Coturnix japonica: one gene and its partner. The protein of the gene in region 2 binds, or shares a complex with, the protein of the main gene of each other region. Links are inferred from orthologs where the notes say so. Each region holds a gene or a part of one and is shown on either strand. Other genes may lie near its edges.

What was found.
Region 1: MKS1 (region 2) and TMEM237 share a complex: the UniProt entries of both Homo sapiens proteins name them as parts of the tectonic-like complex. The link is inferred for Coturnix japonica from reciprocal best matches to the Homo sapiens genes MKS1 and TMEM237.

Annotation. Positions count from the first base shown.
Region 1 is NC_029522.1:9,998,889-10,003,070, forward strand, and holds the start of TMEM237 (transmembrane protein 237), read right to left. Parts: upstream 2,812-4,182; 5' UTR 2,769-2,811; coding exon 2,739-2,768; intron 2,671-2,738; exon of another isoform or gene 2,021-2,670; coding exon of another isoform or gene 2,003-2,020; intron 1,654-2,002; coding exon 1,622-1,653; intron 584-1,621; coding exon 573-583; intron 1-572. UniProt on the Homo sapiens protein: Component of the transition zone in primary cilia. Required for ciliogenesis.
Region 2 is NC_029534.1:112,288-115,819, forward strand, and holds the end of MKS1 (Meckel syndrome type 1 protein), read right to left. Parts: intron 3,111-3,532; coding exon 3,003-3,110; intron 2,514-3,002; coding exon 2,380-2,513; intron 1,818-2,379; coding exon 1,735-1,817; intron 1,653-1,734; coding exon 1,555-1,652; intron 1,100-1,554; coding exon 996-1,099; 3' UTR 511-995; downstream 1-510. UniProt on the Homo sapiens protein: Component of the tectonic-like complex, a complex localized at the transition zone of primary cilia and acting as a barrier that prevents diffusion of transmembrane proteins between the cilia and plasma membranes.

The sequences.
Region 1 (4,182 bases), on a different chromosome or scaffold from region 2:
TCCCTTTTTTAACAACCATACCATTCCAAATTAAGAAAGAGTCCTTTTTAAAAGCAAGGACATATTTCAGCTTTTACAGATCAGGTGACAATTCACCAATGTTCAGAAACAGGAAAAGTACAGTAGATAGCAGGAAAGCAAAATAACTTATCTGTCTTACGTGTAACAGAGGCTAAATATACACATGCACATGTTAAGTGAAAACCTGAATGATACTCTGAAGAATAAACTTCAGAGAACTCTTCAGAACACAGTGACAACATTACAGTTGCCCTAACTCAGAACTAGCAATTAGTAAGAAGAACAAAAGATCAGATAGTTCTCACAACAACAGTCTGAATACCCATGATTGCATGCATTTAGGAAGAGTGTAAGGATCAATCCTTCAGTCCTTCTGGGCAGCTTGGTCTAGCAGTTGGCAACCCTACACATAGCAGGGGGGCTGAAACTAGATGATCACTGTGATCCTTTTCAACCCAGGCAATCCTATGATTCTATGATTCAAGAGAGGATAAAATGACACAAGAACTATATAGATGGTTACAACTCTCTCTGATGACAGAATAACTCACCCTGGTTTCCACTTCACGTTTAATGAGAAAAGGTGTTGAAGAGCAGCGCCAAAGGAGCAAAGGTAAGAAGAGAGTTAGTTTTTAATCAACTCACAACAGTGACATTCTCTCTACTTTTTCATTTCATTATTCCCCTTATTTCCATTCCCACGTTTATTTACTGGCAACTGTACACAAAAGGGTTAAGTGTACAAAGCAATCATCCAGACTCAACACTGTCCGTGACTGTGCAGTTTCTTGATTGGCCAGCTATAGATCAGATTAAAAGCGATAATCACCTGGTTAATTAAAACTTGCCTGACATGTAACAAACTAACAGAAGTTATGAAACATTACAACATACACATTACTAAAAATACACCTTTATATGTTGCCAATCATGAACATCACATTTGCCCTAAGGTACTTTGAAGGAATTCTGACATATCATGCCATAAAAATCCGTAGAATTGCTTTTCCTTCCACACTGCTCATTAAAATGCTGGAAAAAAGAAAAAAGCCCAGATTTCTCTGGATGCAGTCGGACTCGATGATCTATAAGGTCTTTCCCAGCCTAAGCAATTCTATGATTCCATATTATGTCAAACTGATAAACACCTGTGTCTCCATTTGATAACACCTAGCTTGATTTCAAAAATCCCTGTCCTGAAGGATTTGTGATTTAAACGTACCAAAGAATGTAGCAAAACAACAGCAACAAAGAGTTAAGGAAGAAGAAAGTGAAAAGAGAAACATCAGTAAAACTGATACAGATGCTAATAAAACTGAAGTTGATGTTTGTCTAAGACTTTAAAAGGTTTAATCTTCCTGAATATTAAAAGTGAGGTAAACTTCAATTAAAAATGAGTCAATTTCTCAGCCTCTAAAAACGTTAAATGCTTTATAATTCTTGTGAGGGATTCTAGAACAACAAAGCAGCAAGAAAAGCAAATGTTTAAAAAGCTACTGTGACTGTGCAGATACTCAAACTCATTTTCTTTCATTTCATTTCCTTTAAAAACACAGCAGTAGAGAACCACAATCAATCCTGTGGAACGAACTGATCTTACCTTGGCACTGGGGGGAGGGCACGTGGAGGGCGCTGAAACATAACGGAGAGACAGAAGTCAGCTTCTGACAGTGCAAAATCATCCCGAGGTCTGTTAAACCACTCCACAGAGAACAGCTGCTTTCAGAGGCAATAATAACTCACACTATCTATGTTATGCTTCTGAAACCAGGTTCTCATACACAACCAAATACATAAAGAGTAAGAAACACATATCTCCTATTGTCAATCTGAAATGCAGTTCTTGCACTGGATGATTTTGTATTATATAATAATACATAAGAAGTATAGCATTAAACATTTCCTACATTACAAGAACTCAGTTGATACCAACAACACAAAAGCCTGCCTGACCAGTAAAGCTCAAGGGCCCCCAACTTACCACTTGTTTTTTCCCCATATCATTGGAAGCAGTTCCCTGGAAGAGGCACTGTGAACAGTTCTCCACTCCTGACGTCGCTCACGCTGAACCTCTGCTAATTCTGAACTAAAAATAAGCTTCTGGCTGCCCGGATTAGCTGGCTGTAAACCTCCCTGCCCCTGGGCCAGTGCCCAGCACTATTCCTGCTAGAATCAATGGTGGTTTGCTCTGGCAGCAAAGCTTGTCCTAAATGGCACCTGCCCCAAACCCCATTGCTCTATGTGCTGGTAAAGGTTCAGGTGAGCTCTGCTCGGGGATTTTCACCTGCTAAGTGAGACTCGCCGCACGAGGAAGCTTAAAGCGAAGTTTAGCTCGGGGCTCATTATTGCCTTCATCATCGTTTGAGCGATAACTATCGTTAATTATCTAGGATATGGCAGAGATCTCCAGCCCTCAGCTGCAGCTGCCCATGGCCCGGAGGAGCACACCGCAGGCCACAGCAAGGGGGCGGCTGCACGAGATGGCCATTTGGAGACTCCATCCCCCGGTGCCGTTCGGTGAGCAGGGCCACGGGAACCCTCCGACGAGACACACCCACGGCCGCCCCAGCGGCACAACGGGGGCCGGCTCTTCAAACTCGAAGCCCCCCACCCACCGCCGCACCGAACCGCCGCCAACGCCCACAGCGCGGCCTAGGCCGGGGAAGGCTTTAGGCCCGGCCCCCCCCCCGCCCTTCTGGGAGCCCCGCCGCCCTCACCCGCTCGGGTCCCGCCCGCGGCTCCGCCATGCCGCCCCCGCCGCCGTCCCGAGCCCCGCAGGGAGGAGCCGCCGCTCGCTTCCGCCCCGCCCCGCCGCTACGGCCGCGCTCCTCGGCGGCACAGCCGGTATCCTCAGTGCGGCGACGGGGAAAGCGAGGCCTTGAACAGACCGGGATTCCGGCTTCGTTCGCCTCGTTATGAGTGACACTATTTGCAAATGAAGTGACAAGCTCTAAGTTAAAAGAAAATCAAACTGCAAAGGGAACGAACACCCGATGCTGTGCTTTTCTGGCAGCTGCTTTTCAATGTACATCCCGCTGCTGCGAGGGGCAAAGTACCAGCTCATGCACCAGCCCGGCTCCCGCTGCTTGTACTCACCCCATTCCAGGGCCATGCAGGGCTCTGCTTTCCAGTGTGTTTCCTGCCAAGGACCCCGCTCTGACTTCACTATAAGCTGGCACAGTGCTAGCTGCAAGAGCAGGCTTACTACATGAATAACTTCTTTATAGGCAGCGCAACCTCCTCCAGTAGATTTTCTCCAGGAGGAACCAGGCCGACAGGATAAGTTGTTTCCTCTGAGTCCAATAAACCTGTAATGTGAGATGAAGAGAGTGAGGAATTTGTTAGCCATAGTCACTGTACTCTTTGGTGAAGAGAACGTGCTGCCTTGACTCAAACCAATAAGAAAAGGGGCTTTGGATATGATTTTCCTCTATAATAAATCCATATTTTGTCAGTTTTCAGTCACTTGAGTTGATGGAATAAAAGCCAAGCCCTGCTAAAATACTGTGGCAGCCCAAGTGACCTCAGGTGTGCACCCACTGCTCACAACAACCACATATCGGTGTGCAATCAGCACTGCCTGGGCTGGTGTGGGACATGGAGGATGCAGTGCAGCACTAACTCAACTTAAAAACAAAACCAAAAAAACAACCAAACAAACAAAAAAACCAAACAAAGAATCATGAATGTTTTGGTATGTTTATGACTGCATTTTCAGTTGACACAAATGTATAACCTGTGAATTTCCAACAGCTGCAATCAGGCATTCACTCCAAAGAATAGTTTGGTCATCATATCTCTTTACCAGGCTTTTTTAAGCCCTCTCTTACCACATGCTGAGCTTCACAAAAACAAGAACACATCCCATTGGTTTGAGGTTTTCGTTACTCTTTAAAAAAAAAATAAAAATGTTTTAATAAAAACACTGGAACATTTGATTTCTTATACAGTAACTGTACTGCATATGTTATGAAGGCTGCTCTGAAAGTAACACCTGCTATTTCATTGTGCTGGCCCACAATGTCAGAAGCAGATGGTGGTGGTATGGCAGTGGAGGTGATGGAGGTGAACCTTCCTACCAGTATTCCGTTCCCTGTTGTTGCCGTGTGACAGGGAGCAGCAGAGGCAGTCTGACAAACTGGCATCTGAAGCAAAAGCATC
Region 2 (3,532 bases):
TTTCAGATGCACTCAGCCCTGTGTGATATTTTTCTTCCTATCACTGTGGGTCTGCAGGTAGCCCCAGTCCTGTGAACGTGAGACAGGAACAAAAATAGGGGAATAAAAAAGGCTGAGAAAAGAAGAAGAAAGTGAGTAAAAACTGTGTAAACATATGCTTCCCCAGGAAGCAATGCAGTGTATTGCTGAGCTCAAGCAATGAGTTGCAGCTCAGATGAAGAGCTTAACAGTTCAAAGTTCAGCTGCTGTGCAAATGTCACAATCTGTTCTCATCTGCAACATCCAGCCCAGCTCTTCTATGAACTAAAGAGAAGATGTATTTTCAGTTGTATTCCCAAAGTCCTTCTGCTCATCCTTGCAGTCAGAAGAGCCAGAAATTCCACAGATAAAAAGAAATACAGAACAGAACCCTCTTCTCCAGTCTGGCCTCTGTCACACATAATTTCCTTGCTTTGGTTTCCATGCGATGAAGACCCCTCCCTTTCTCTAGGAATGAATCAGTTTTAAATCTCAGGTGGTCAGATTCATTTTACTGAAAACTGACCTAAAGCTTCAAATGCTGATGGTAACTATCAGTAAGTTCACTACTCAGTTAATTAAATCTCAAACAACATTCATGCCCTGACCTTCAACATAACCCTCTTCTTTAAGAAGAAAAGTAAATCTATCAAGTCAAGTAGACTTGAAAATTTTCTCATTGCCTACAATTCAATATTCAAAAAGCTCACGTGTCTCATGTCAGTATTTTAGTCAGCTCAGCAGAAACATGAACAACTGGCTCTAACATCAAGGCCTGGTAACAAAATGCCTTCAAACAGCGCACCTGTGGAAACGATTCTCAGTATGGATGTGCTATAGAGAGACATAGGGCAGCATCTCTGCCCCTGTCTGCAAAGGAAGGGCCTCAAAGAGCTTCAGGGCACTGGGAGCTTCTGTCAGAGAGATGTGGGCTGCCCCCAGGCCAGAGGCAGTGAGGCTGTCGGTCTGTCAGTCTGTCAGTCAGGGTTCTTCCACACACTGGAGGCAGAAGTGCTGATGAGGTCCTGGGGAAGGCTCTCACGGGCCTCCTGCATCCGCCGCCGAGCCCGATGGAAAGCCTCTGCAACACAGCAGGTGACAGCAAGTCAGAACACATCAGACAGCCGCAGGGAACGGGAAGGACAAGTCTGTCCAGTGCACATCACCTCTCAGAACAGGGGTCTCACTAAGTACCACCTGACTGCTGCTGCTCTTTGCTCTGCGCATAATGGATCAGAGACTGACTCTGCACACCGCAGCCACAAGTTATGTTCAGTGCAAGACTGGGCAGCCCAGCCCAGGCTTTGCCCTCATGGACCGAGTATCCCTTCTGACTGCTCAGGGCTGATGCCTCCTCAAATTTCCAGCAATGTCAGGTCAGAACATTTAACTTCTGTTTTAACTCAGAGAGAGCTCACAGTGGGGGATAATTCCACTTCAAGCAATGGATTCTCCTGAAATACCCTGACCAACCTGTAAACAGGAGGTAAAAGTGAGACAAAGGTCCTCCTCGAAGAAGGAGACTGAAGGTCCTACCCAGAACATTGTAGACAGAGCTCTGCTGGCTGAGGCCTCCAAGCCGGTCCAGAACGCTCTGCATGCGATGCCTCAGGGCATTAGTTTCCAGAAAGGCTCTGCACAGAAGTACAGCTCGAGGTCAGGGCTGGAAGAACACAGCACACAACACAGAGCTTGTGCTCACTTTGCTGCACTCACTTGGATTGCTGCAGGCAGTAAAGCCGGAACGTGACATTCCCTGTTGTCTTTGTGCGAAAACCAAAGCGGCTCAGATGCTTTCCCTGCAAAAACAGCACAAGTTAGAGTACCTACAGCCTCTAACCTATTACAGCAGGCTGACCCCAACGAGTGTGCCCCACCAGGACAAGCACTCCCGCAGGCACAGAATCACTCCTTGCACTGCTTCAAACAGAAACTGACGTCAGAGAGACAAGCAGACAGTTCCAGGCTGTGCTGAGGGCAGGACCTGACCACTGGGAAGATACAGTGCTGGGGGAAGGGTTCCATCTTGAGCCCTTTGTTCAGTCTGGGTGCCACAATAGGAGAAAAACATCAGCTTATTAAACAGATTCCAAAGGACAGCAACAAAGATGGTGAGAGGTCTTCTCTAAGAGGCTTGTTGGGCCTCCCAGGGGAGCCACTGGAACATCAAAGCAGCTGAAGTTAGAGAAGTGTTTGGACACAGAACATGCACTTTAGCTGTGGGTAGTCCTGTGTAGAGCAGGGAGCTGGAACTGATAATCCTTTGGGCTCCTTCAAACTTGGGATAATTTATGATTCTTTGATTCTAAGAGCATAATCCACCATTTCCCAGCAAGAGCAACATCCCACAGCTAAGCCTACCTTGAAGGTTGTTGGTATCCTGGCATAGGTCACGTCCTCCAGCTCAGGAGACCCACCGATGAAAAATCTCCTCATCTCAGCAACTGTACCCAGCTCTACAGGGCGCCAGGTCGGGATGGTGAGCACGTGGAGACCTGAGCCAAGACAACAGAACAGTTCAGCAGTACTGTCCGACAGTCATAGAGGACATCATGGTGGACGGATACCTACTGATGAATACCCACTGATTCCCAGGTTTTTCCAATGAGCCCCAGCCACACAGCCAGCACTGACACCATCCCCTTTACTATGTGATGATGTTAGACTAGTTGTGAGCCTGGGATTACATACACAACAGAAAGGGCCTACTGCTATTGTAAAGATGGACATGCAGAGCTTTATCACATACAGTTCTCCAGCAGAACCACTGGAAGAACAAGTACAGCAAAACACAATGCTTCTCATCATGGCAGAAGGTGCAGACACATCACATCACTCTGCTGCTTCACAGACAGCAAACTATTCATTTCAAAATGACACGGTGAAGCCTCCCAGAATTAGGTGCAGCTGTTCCAAAGAGAACCACTCAACTCCTATTTCCCTACACACTTAACATACTGCCCCAAAGATGTTTGGTTTTTTACCTGGAGATGTTGGCAGCACAACAGAACCATAACCTTCGACACGATACCTCTGCCAGAAATCCAGGGACAGAACCTCGAAGTAGAGAACGGGCCAATGCAGGAGGCATTCTGCAAGGAAAGGGAGCAGATCAGTTTTTTGAATGGTGAAGAGGGAGACCAACACAGAGAGAAAAACTTCCTCAACACTTCAATCCCACTAGCAAGGAGTCCTTTCTCTGCTTCTCCCAAAATGACAAACCTATTTCTATGTGGGGTATGCATGACTATTTTTCTGTGTAAAAGATGAAGCATCAGACTTGAGGATGAAAACACAGGGCTAAAAAGTTAAAGAACTGAAAAAACCTTTGTTTTGGTGAGTCTCTGAGAATCGTCAAAGTGATTCCTCAGTTGTCTTTGGGCAGTTGTGACAATCTGCAAACAACTGACGCAGCACAGAGGAGCCTTTTTATCTCTGATCTTTCTCATCACTGTTGGGGACTATTAACTTAGATTGTCCCACAGGCCTCCAAGCATTTATTTTCTCCATGGTG